Tamandua tetradactyla: one gene and its partners. The protein of the gene in region 1 purifies or fractionates together with the protein of each later gene. This does not show direct contact. Links are inferred from orthologs where the notes say so. Each region holds a gene or a part of one and is shown on either strand. Other genes may lie near its edges. The genes, in order: SNRNP70, TFIP11 and MRPS26.

Region 1 (3,600 bases):
CTAAATATCACACCCATCATCATATCAAGTTCGCTATTTTCTTACATACATTCTGTGACTAAGCATGTAATCAATCTGCACAGCTCCGTCATTAGATAATCTCTAACCCTGTCATCTCAGGCCATTATATTCATTTTTCTAAACCTGCCTATCTTTTGATACTATAAAACTTATCGGAATTACTGCAGTTTGGGGAGACAGATTTTTGGGCCAATAGGCCATCTGATCTCCTGCTTTGCTCATAGCAATAAATTATCTTTTTGAAAACCCGGTGTCTCCGGAGTTGGGCATTAAATACATCAATCACCATTGCTTTTGTCTGGAGAAACCGTTATGCAGAATATAATGTCCTTATTCTTAGGAAATTCATGCTGAAGCATTCAGGGGTGAAATGCTGCTGCAATTTACTTTCAAGTTCAGAAAACAAAACATAGGAAGCGGATACACACAAACAGGTAAAGCAAATATGTCAACTTTTTAAAAAATATTGCTTCAATCTCAAGCATCTCTAAAACCAACTCAGTAACTAAAATTTGGTAATAATTTCTGTAATTATTATATTAAATAGGCAACTGAATACAACCAAATTGCAACAGTTAATTCGTTAAGATATATAAAGCCCTAAATAACATGGCTGCCAGTTCTGTGCCCTCATGGCTCCTCACCTAGGGCCTTGGCACTTGCTGTTCAAAGGTCACCTCTGAATGGCATGCCTCTTTTAAATAGCCCCGCTCTCATTTTGCATCCTCTTCCTCTGCTCTATTTTCCTTCATCGTGCCGGCCACATCTAGAATTATTTTCTTCATTTAAATGTTTTACTGTCTTCCCCTCAAGAGAATGTAAGTTCCATGAGATAAAAGGCTTTGTATTAGCCATATGCTATATGTTCACCAGCGTTCCAAACAGCGTCTATCAGACTGCAAGCGCTCGACAAAGCTGTTGACCGAATAGATTAGACATCCCGCTGACCACTTCTCAAGTAGGAACTCTTTGCCAAGTGGCGGAAGGGTACATGTAATACGTTACTACGCATGCGCACAGACTCCGGGAAGTATTAAAAAGAAGGGGCGGAGTATCAGAAGAGTCTCGCGAACAGAAGCGGTTGGGGCAGAGAGCGCGAGGAGGAGAGAGTGGCTGGTGCGGCTCGCTCGTGCGCAGTACGGAAGCCAGTCAGCCGCGGCAAAGCCGTTCAGGGCACCCGAAGGCGGGGGCAGCAGTCGCGCGCGTGCGTTGTGTCCCGTCCCTGTGTGCGAGGGGCTCGCGACTCGCGCGGCGCGTGCGCAGTGCAGCCAGCGGAGGGATCCGAGGCGGGGCCCCACCCCCTGCCCCCATCGGGAGCCGAGGCCGCGCGGGTTCGTGAGCGGCAGCCTGGTGCGCGCGCGGGGCCGGCGGTAGAGCTAGACAGACGCGGTCGTTGCCGGAGTCGAATCCGAAGAAGAAGCCCCTACTACTGAGGGGCTGCCGCAGCCCCCGCGAGGCCCCGGACCGACGCCAGGCCGAGGAGGGCGCCGCGCGGCGGGTGAGTGACTGGCCTTATCGGGAGCGGGGCTGCTACCCACAAGGCCCTGCGGTGGGCCCTAGCCCCTTTTCCTGCGGCCGGGCCCTCTTCCCGCGCCCTCGGCTCAGCGCTTTGGTGCACCTCTTACCTAAAGTCCTCTGGTCGCTTGGGCCCCCTTCCCACGGCCCCCTTCCCATAGCCCTCCGCGGTCCCCTACCTACAGATCTTTGCGGTGTTGCCTTTTTTCCTTTCTGGCCTTTCCGCAGCGTCCTAGACCCTTACCCATAATTCCTTTCGCCTTTGAAGGCTGAGACCCATTACCCACAAGCCCCTACCTTGATAGGTTTGCTATTTACGGTTCTCTCCCTTTGATCGGAGACTTCTACTTCCAAGATCTGTGCGCGACCCCTGCTCGGTAAATTGTCCCCCACGGTACAGACCACCAGGCACCATTGCTCTGCTCTTTCTTCGTCAGGGTCCTTGATTTCCCTACAAGCCCCTTGCTAGGGAACTTGTCTACTCAGAAACCCTTTTCCAGTCCTTGTTTCCCTTAGTGGCCTCATCCCCAATCCCCTGCCCTCCTCCTCCCAAGAACTTGCTTTCTCATTCGGATTTATTATTTATTTATTTTTTGCATGATCAGGCACCAGAAATCGAACCCGGGTCTCTGGCATGGCAGGCGAGAATTCTGCCACTGAGCCGCCATTGCCTGCCCTCTCATTCGGATTTACTCCTTTTTCCCTGTGACATGAAAACCCAGTGTTCTGTTTTCCTCTTTTTCTTGAGAGTTAAAACCTATCCTAACTTAGGGCCTTCTTGCTTCTACCCTCAGACCTGGCAAGATGACCCAGTTCTTGCCGCCCAACCTTCTGGCCCTGTTTGCTCCACGTGACCCCATCCCGTACCTGCCACCCTTGGAGAAACTGCCACATGAGAAGCACCACAATCAGCCATACTGTGGCATTGCACCCTACATCCGAGAGTTTGAGGTGAGTTCACTGCTGGGATAAGGAGTGGTTTAGGTTTTGGGGAGGTCATTGGGCTGGACTTAGGAATCCAGTCAGGCCATTTTCGAGCTGGTGCCTTATTCTTTCTTCTGTGTCCCTGTCTTAAAATGGGGTTGATAATATGTCCCTTCTAGGGTTAGTGTGAAAGTTCAGCAAGTAGTAGACTTTTACACCCAGGATTTATCAGTAGGTGACCTTGGGCAAGTGGTGTATCCTCCTACTGCCTTGATTTTTTCATTTTTAGCAAGAGGGCAATAGTATTTTCCTCATAAGAGTGACAGAGAATTAAATGGCAAAACTTAGTGTCATAGGGCTTGACACCAAGCAGTCAGCAATGTTAGCATTTGAATTGTAGTTACTGATTTTATCATTAATAGCATGACATTCACAAAGACTTAGACCAGTGCTTAAGGCCACAGGCTTGGGAATTTCAGCTCTGTACCTCCAGGTTAAACCTGAATATGTGACTTAAGCTTCTGGACATCAGTTTTTTCGTTCAAAAGATTGGGATAACAATACTCATCTTTTAAGGTGCATCGAACCACACTTGAGAAATAGTGGTACACAGCCTGAAGTCATAAGAAGAAAGTTCTGGCACTGGGTGGTTGGGCTGGGAATTCTCATCCTTGTGGGAAAGGGCAGCTGGAGGTAGAGAGAGTTTTAGAGCAGCGGTTCATAAGATGATAGGACAGTTGCATCTTTAGTGGAAATTGCCACCTTCAGTGAAATGGTACTTGGGAAATGCTGTTGGTCAATTAAGCAACTTTAATGGATACGGTCAGTGGCTCCCATTGATGATACTGGTTATGTGTCATTTAATGAGTGTTTGGGGAGACTCTGACAGACTCCTCTCAGGTGGTATCCATTTGTTTGCCTCTGGACCCTGCACGGTCTGATCCTTTTGCTTCAAGCCTGGTCCTGCTTCTTGGCGTCCATAAAGAAGGGCCCTCTCATCACTCCACAGAGCAGCCTTTGGCACTCTGCGCACTTCGGAATGATGCTTGGGGGCTGTGAGATGCAGGATGTTCCCCAAAATGGGAGATGACATTCTGTTCTTAAGTTTGATGTCATCTGTGGCAGTGCTTCTTAAATTAT
Region 2 (3,820 bases), on another chromosome or scaffold:
TGAGCTGTTGAGCTGTTCTCTTGCATCTAACTTCTCCTTTTAAGCCTCATTTATTGCGGAAGGCACTCCCTTTAGCCCATCACAGATGTAATCAGCTATTTATAAAGTTCACATGTTGATGACTTAAGTGCCCAGCCACAGAACAAGTGGGCACCGTTATCTGGGTAAGCTGACACCTGAACCTAACTACTACACTGACACTGTTTGATTTCATTGAATCCTCAACCATTTTGCGGAGAAAAATGAAGTTTAGAGAAATGCCCAAACTCTACAGCTGGTAACTCGCAGGCCTGAGATCAGAACTTCAGAGCCTGTGTGCTCCTAATGGCAACAGAGAGTCTCAGAGGAGCCAGGGATTCCAGGCAGGTGCCAGATTCGTTCTTGAGCCTCGCACAAGGTTGGTAGTCAGTACATTTTTAATTAGATGAGTAAATGAATGAATTCATCAACCTGTATGAAATCAAGGATGGAAAAATTTCCAGAAAAAATACTTGGGAACTCCTAAGAGTTTGCCCATTCATTCCCCCAAACCCCTTTTATAAGGCAGCTTCTCTGCGCCCGTGACGATGCTTACACCGAGAGACCCAAATATACAGGAGACGCAAACACGGCTTTCATTATCCCCATATGAATGTCCGTCGCGTCCCCTCCAGATTTACAGTCTGAGGCTGGTCTCTGGCCAAAGTCGTTCTGGGACGTCCCGACGGGTCAACCCAGGCCAGATAACGCATTACAAAACCGGAAAGGCACTCCCTGGCCACTCGGGGCGCTACAACCTCCATGTACCTTCTAGCATCTTAACGCCGCTGTTCGAAAAAGAAAGCCGCTCTAGCGTTGTGTTGTTGCTACCGCACACCGCGCCACTTTGTCGATGTCAAGGGACGTCATTTCCGGTGCGCGGCTCTATTCACGTCCGGGTTCTGGAGAGCGGAAGTGGCGTGTTTAGGGCGCCGAGTGGGAAGCTGCGTGTGGTCCTGGGAACCCATCCGAGAGGTGAGGGCGCTAGGGGTCTCGTAGCAGCGGGAGTGGGGATGCAGTCTCGGAGACGGCTGGCTTCAGCCTCGGCCTCGCCTGTGTCGGATTCCCCTTCGCAAACCGCGCTGCCGGAGCCCGGGGAGGGGCGGGGCCGCTCGGGGTCACCAGGGAGTGGGGGCCAGCACCCAGTCAGGAAGGCGTGTGTCTTTCGTGATGCCTGGACAGCGGGGTTGAGAAAGGCCCGAGCCTTAGGTTTTTCCTACAGGCGAGGAGTTTTTCCTTGGAGCTTCATTTTTCCATCTGAAGCATGGAAACGTTATAGTTCCTGCCCGTAAAAGTGTTTCGATACCTAGATTGGAAAACCGTCTCGCAGCACCCAGCAAGTACTTAGCACCTACAATGGCCCTATAACTCGTAACTACTCTGAGATTGTAACCATGTCATTTGCCCAGGGTGCCAGCGGTATAATTTACTCCGATGTAGCTGGGACTCCCCACCTTTGAAAATATTTGCCGCCTGTACACGCTTTACCCAGAGCGGTGAGCAGACGAAGCAGGAGTTTTCTCACAGCTGAGTAGAATTTGACACTCTAGTGCCTACCTGTACGTGAAGGCTGCGTGCAGTAACTGGTAGACCAGAATCACAATTACTGTCACTTGTTGAGTGTGTGACATTGTAGTGGCACCATCAAATTCACGAATACTCACAAACTGAGTACCTGTGTTGGGATTTGAACCTAGGCCGTGACTCATAATCATTTTGATGGATTGACTCAGTAGCAATGGTGAACCTAATCATGGCACTATAGTAGCAGCTGTTGTTCTTTAGCACTTACTGTGAGTTAAGTGCTTTTAAAGCACCATGTCACTGAATCTGCCTTACAAGCTTTCTCAAAGGTTGATACAGCATTTAGTCCTAATTTAAGAGCTAGCAAAATCTTATCACCTGGCTACCAAGAGGTGAATTCTCTATTCTGGTTCACACAGTTATTGTAGTGTTCATAGTTAACTGTTGTCTTCTACTTCAGGAGAAGAGGCCATGTTTTGAGAGGAAAACTTAGAGTTTCCGCTCTAAGGATCTTTTGAGTGTCTTCAGGAAATTTATTTTAAAAAGCATATTCCAAAAAAACCATTCTGCCTGGGAGTGGGCCAGGCATCCAGATATAACCTTTTTCCTCAAAAATAGAAAACATAATAATAAAATTTGGGGTCCAGGAAGTCATTTACCCAGTTTCTGAGGCAATAATATACAGAATAACACACTTAGTTATTTTTGTATGATTTGTGTATGTCTGTGCATATGATGTTTTATGGCATTGACTAGGACAGAAATACATACTTTTTAAGAATCACATAGATGGATCTGTTTTAAATGTCTGCTTAATTGAATAGTAACAATAATCTTAACAGACTTTGGGTCTGGAAAAAGTTCTGAAGGCACCAAGAAACAGGGACTCACAAGGAAGCTTTCTGCTGCTGCTCCCAGCACTTTTCACAGACTGCACTTTTTGTCCATTCTTGTAGTGGCTGGCCATGTCGCTGTCCCATTTGTACCGGGATGGGGAAGGCCACATAGATGACGACGAGGATGAGCGGGAGAACTTTGAGATCACCGACTGGGATCTCCAGAATGAGTTCAACCCCAACCGACCCCGCCACTGGCAGACTAAGGAAGAGGCCACCTACGGGATTTGGGCAGAACGTGACTCAGATGAGGAGAGGCCCAGCTTTGGAGGCAAACGGTACTGGCTTACATGGGACTGACTTCACCTTGCTTTAGAGAAAGGGGACAGGATGGAGGAAGTAGGGAAGTATACATCTCTCCTGGCCTTACAGATCCATTAGCTATGACATCAGCTATGGAAGTGTAATTTCCTCTTCAGGAAAGGTGCTATTCTTTCACAGATGTGATCATTCAGTCATTGTTTATCCAGAGCAGTTACTGTGTGTCAGGGCTTGGGCTGTAGAAGGAGTTTCTGCCTGGAGCTTGGCGCCTAGTGAACAGAGACAGGCATTGATTAATGCCACACAAAGAAATGGAAGTTTGTACTGTGATTCAGGTTGTCAAGAAAAGCACATTTTGGGGGTGTTTGACCTATTCTGGGGGATCAGGGAAGGTTCCTCTGGAGAAGAGATCCTTGAGTGGATATGAAAATAAAAAGTTAGGGTGGAAGGAGAGGCAAGGGTATATAAAGGCCCCTGATGGAAAGAACAGCTTATCCACAGGAAAAGAAGAAAGGTTGAGGGGCCTGGAGTAGAGGGATGGAGGAAGAACATAGTTTGAGGAGCTCAGGAAGTCAGGTCACCTGGGACCTGGAGGCTGCAGTTGAGGGGATGTGATGTAGGGCTGATTGTGCTTTGAGAAGACCCTTTTGTTAGTGTGCAGGGTGGGCCTGGAGCTGCAGGGGAAGAGGAAGCTCTGTGAGAAGGCTGCGGCTAGGATGGGGACAGCGAGATGGAGGATTCACATGGCAGGTCCTTTCCCCAGTGGAGGCCCAGGTGTGAGCTGGTGCAGTTCACTTGACCAGAATGTGGAGCAGATTTGAGTTTGTCTTGCCCTTGCTCACATCTGTAGCCTGTGGGCTCCATTCCACAGAGGCTATATCTTTTTCACAAAGGGGATTGGGAAAGAGTGTCAGGATCAGTATTAACTGTAGTTCATACTTTGCAAATAGGTGCATTTTCCCCATATACCTCTTTATTATTAACTCCTTGCAATAGTCTCATATATTTGCTCTAGTTCATGAAACAGCTTTTTTATATTTGTACTGTTTATCACATTGTCCACAACATTTTAACCTCCATGTTATGCAGACCTATGTTTTAACCTCTAGCTTTCCTTCTGG
Region 3 (3,820 bases), on another chromosome or scaffold:
AGGCCATGGGTAGAGGACCATAGGAAGGGATGGCAGTTCCTCTTTGCCTTTTGTGTTCTGGGTCACCAAAGCCCAGCATCAAGCAGGGGAAGACCCTTGGCCAAAGGTTAGTTTGTGGCCCAGGGGCCAGGTGAAACCTGCTCCCAGCTGGTGCCCTAAAGATCAAAGGCCATTTAATATTTTATGCTTATAAGATCTCTGTTGCAACTACACATCTCTTCATTGTGTGAAAGTAATCAAAGAATGGATGTGGCTGTGTTCCGATAAAATTTTATTTACAAGCCAAGTTCAAGAGCGGAAACCTGCTTTATTTCATTTTCACTATATCTGAAGGGTTATGAGGAGCAAGGGGTGGGCTTCAACAGTGTCCAGAGCTGATCCCAGCTCAGCGCATGAAGAAGTTAGCTGTAGTTCACTGAATCCTGCTGTTGATGATACTTAGGATATAGTTTGGCTGCCTTAGGGAATGGTTGTGCATTCCACTTCTCTGTGAGATGTAAACCACTCCAGGGCTGTGCTCTGCTGAGAATTGTACAGAAGGGCAAATCAGGGCACTGTGTTTGGGAATTTCCAACCAACTGGTGGGTGCAGAAGCCATAAGCATGAGCTATGCTGGAACAGGCTGAGTCTTCCTCATAAGAAGCACCAATGAATTATTCTAGGGCAGGTCCAACCCTCCTACCCCCAGATACACATCGTCCCTGGGACTCAGGAAGGCACTGTCCTTACTGGGCCCCTAGGAGTCCCTGTGCTGTGGCTTGACCACCAATCCCTCTCTGGAAAGTGCCCAGTTGTAGCTCTTTGGCGAGTCCAATGCTTCTTCTATCCGTGCATCCAGGTTCTCTCGGGTGATGAAGTTTTTCACCTCCTCCTATTGGGAGAGAGAAGGCCAGCTGAGTGGGAGCCCCTAATGCCTGCCAGGCTTTAGACAGAGGAGGCGGCTCCAGTTTTCCGTCCAGGAGGACCATGTAGAGTCCAGGTCCTCCTTGAGGGCTGCACTGATCCCAGTGGCATATCAACAGGCAGCTTTGCCACATTCTTCTTTCTTGGACAACATTCCCTACAACTCCAAGTACCAGCTGTGACAATCTCATGCCCTGCTGGGTAGATTCAGTTCCTCAATGTTGTAATATCTCTCAAATTTGTCTTTCTACTTCTATGACTTTAATTCAAGTTTCACCCATTCTCTCTGGATTACTCCTAACTGGCCTCCCTGCTTTTAAGTCTCACACTTTCCAATCCTAGGAATATTTAACTCATCAATAACTTCAACACCTGCAAGACAAAATATGAACTTTTGGAACGTGGGGGTCCCTCCCAAAGACATCAACTTACCAACTGGTAGGCACCTGAACACTTTCAGTTCTTTACTCTTGACAGGTACTCTCCCTGCACTCCTTCCCTAAATCCTCACTAGACAACTCTCAAAACTTAAGGCTGCTCTCTAGACAGTTAATGTCCCCCTTCACTCTGGGGGCCCCGAATTTCTACTGCCGCCCTACGGGTCTGTCTCCTTAGCAAGCTGAGTTCCAACCTCCCCCGCTGGACCCTCTGCCTACCTGCAACTGCAGCACTTCTTGCTCTTTGTGCTGCAGCCAGGCCTGCGCCTCACGGGCTTGGCAGGCTTTCTTCTCGATTTTCCGCTGCTCCTCCTCCCGCGCCTCCTGCAGAAGCCTCGTTATCCTGGGAGGAGTAAGAGGCCGGGACTGAATGTGGCTGGGGTCTCTTCCAGGTCGGTCCAGCAGCCCGGGCCCGCCTCCCACTCCACTCACCGCAGCTCGTGTAGCCGCTGGTTCTCCGCCTGGTTCCAGGCCATCAGCTCCCGGTGCTCAGCAGCATCCTCCAGAGCTTTGCGCTCTGCCAGGATCCCGGCCCGGGCGTCGTGCACCTTCTTCCGCACCTCGGCCACGAACTCCAGCCTGGACAAAGACGCGCTTCAAGTCGGCACCCTCCTCGCCACCCCCACCTCAACACATACCCACCTGCGGGCGCGGACGGCCACCTCTCCCTTCCCTCACATACCTAAGGGCGCGCACCGTCTGGCGGTATTCCCGGTAACGCTCAGCTACCACGAAGAACTCCGCAGGATCCACCGTAGGCAGGGTCTTCACACGCCCGACCTTGGACTTGGCTGGGGGGTCATGGCGGGTCTTCCGGCCGCGCGCGGGGAGCAGAAGGAGGGCCCGGGGCCGGCACCCCTGCCGGGTGCCCAGGTAACCCAGCGCGCGCAGCATGGCTCGTTCGGCGCCCCACGCCGGATGCGCAGCCGTGGCGTCACCCGTGACCCGGAAGAGGTCGCGGGGCAACATGGTACATGTAGTCCCGGGGCTCCGCCTTCCCTGCTCACCTGAGGGCTACGCGGGTGTGCCCTAGTCCGATCTTCACCCGGTTCAGCCTGCTGGGGCTGCAGGCGTGGCGCTGCGACCTTGAGGACCTCTGTAGCCGGCCCCCCGCCACCCGGACTCTGCCGCAGGGACTCTGCCGCCCCACCGCCCCTCCTGCCGGGACCCGGCCCGCATCCTTCCAGCCCCCACGCGTAGAAGAGTCCCAGGCGGGGTTGGGGAACGAAGAAGAGAACTCGAGGCAACAGCTTCGGGTACCTGACACTTTTATTGGAGGGCGGGCGGGATGGGACGCGGCCCTCCGGGTCCGGTCTGCGGAGCGAAAGGAGCAGTCATCCCACCAACCGCTCTCCGTACAGTACCGCCGAGCTTCGGTCTGCCAGGTCCCCGCCCCTCCCCTCCGGAACGGACTTCTGAGAGCAGGACGCGGCCACGGCCGGTCTGCCTGCTTCTAGGTCCTGCGAACGCGTCTCGGTCTCCTAGAGGGTCCACCCTGAACCCTGCCCTTAATGATGCTTACGATATGATCTGGCTGCCCTAGAGTATGCCCCCCATCCCGCCCCCAAGTGGTCCCTGACCGACCCAGTGTGGGGTTCTTCAGCTCCCTGGGGCTATGGCATTGCCAGCCCTAAGCAATTCTAATATGCGAGAACCCGAGCTCACACTGGGTTAGGCGATGAGGCTTTGCCTTATAGGTATTTTTTCATTGTCTATTTACTATGCACCTCTGGTAAACTGTGAAATATGTTCATTTTGTAAGATAGTAATAAATCATATGCCTGCACTTGCTGTGGCTGCGGCTGCTCTCCAGTCACTGAGCCGCATGTCAGTGACCTGGTCCTTGGTCCTGCTGCCTGTGTGTGAGAGGTGGCACCCCTCGTCCCTTTTGGCTGCCTTGTGACACATGGCTTCCCTTGACTGTCAAGAATCCTAGAGAACTTCACTTCTGCCATCTTTTACTTTATCATAAGTATCTTATCGTGAATTGCCTAGAATTCTCCTGGGAAATTTGAATAGTAGAGGACACCCTGCTCTGGATTCAACAGGGGTACAGAGAAACAGAGCTGGAGGGGTGGGATGTTGTAGCAGGGTGCATCCCAGTGACAGCTCATTTCCCCTCCCATAGCCCCCAACCCTTAGCCATGGTGACCACTGATGACCAGTGGCTGGGCTTAAATGCTGGGGCCTCTCACCTCACTCACCAGTAGTGTCTGCATCAGGCTCTGCTTCCCGCGGAGGGACCACTTTGCCATGGCCCTGCCCTCCCAAGGTACACTGTTCTCGGCGGGAGCCAGGGCATCACTGGAGAGGCTATGGGCAGTCTGGCCTGGGCTGCCTGCTGCTGTGCCCAGGACCTTTCCTCAGGAGGAAGCCTGGGCTACAGCCGGCCCATCCCCAATCCCAGGCTCGGGGTAGGTGGAGCTGGAGCACCCCGCACCCACCTGGGAGCTGAAGGGCATGCTGGAGGCCCATGGGTG

Evidence for each region.
Region 2: the proteins of SNRNP70 (region 1) and TFIP11 fractionate together in Homo sapiens (co-fractionation; 3 studies listed by BioGRID, with this or other methods). This does not show direct contact. The link is inferred for Tamandua tetradactyla from reciprocal best matches to the Homo sapiens genes SNRNP70 and TFIP11.
Region 3: the proteins of SNRNP70 (region 1) and MRPS26 purify together in Homo sapiens (affinity purification with mass spectrometry; 3 studies listed by BioGRID and IntAct, counting the BioPlex papers as one, with this or other methods). This does not show direct contact. The link is inferred for Tamandua tetradactyla from reciprocal best matches to the Homo sapiens genes SNRNP70 and MRPS26.

Annotation. Positions count from the first base shown.
Region 1 is NC_135342.1:12,037,559-12,041,158, reverse strand, and holds the start of SNRNP70 (U1 small nuclear ribonucleoprotein 70 kDa), read left to right. Parts: upstream 1-1,303; 5' UTR 1,304-1,519; intron 1,520-1,802; exon of another isoform or gene 1,803-1,913; intron 1,914-2,330; 5' UTR 2,331-2,340; coding exon 2,341-2,487; intron 2,488-3,600. UniProt on the Homo sapiens protein: Component of the spliceosomal U1 snRNP, which is essential for recognition of the pre-mRNA 5' splice-site and the subsequent assembly of the spliceosome. SNRNP70 binds to the loop I region of U1-snRNA.
Region 2 is NC_135331.1:36,079,246-36,083,065, reverse strand, and holds the start of TFIP11 (tuftelin-interacting protein 11), read left to right. Parts: upstream 1-905; 5' UTR 906-993; intron 994-2,498; 5' UTR 2,499-2,507; coding exon 2,508-2,716; intron 2,717-3,820. UniProt on the Homo sapiens protein: Involved in pre-mRNA splicing, specifically in spliceosome disassembly during late-stage splicing events. Intron turnover seems to proceed through reactions in two lariat-intron associated complexes termed Intron Large (IL) and Intron Small (IS).
Region 3 is NC_135327.1:24,890,063-24,893,882, reverse strand, and holds MRPS26 (small ribosomal subunit protein mS26), read right to left. Parts: upstream 2,271-3,820; 5' UTR 2,235-2,270; coding exon 2,023-2,234; intron 1,920-2,022; coding exon 1,773-1,919; intron 1,684-1,772; coding exon 1,560-1,683; intron 872-1,559; coding exon 737-871; 3' UTR 730-736; exon of another isoform or gene 520-729; 3' UTR 255-519; downstream 1-254. Other genes in the region: progonadoliberin-2, read right to left, coding at 3,515-3,702, 3,785-3,820.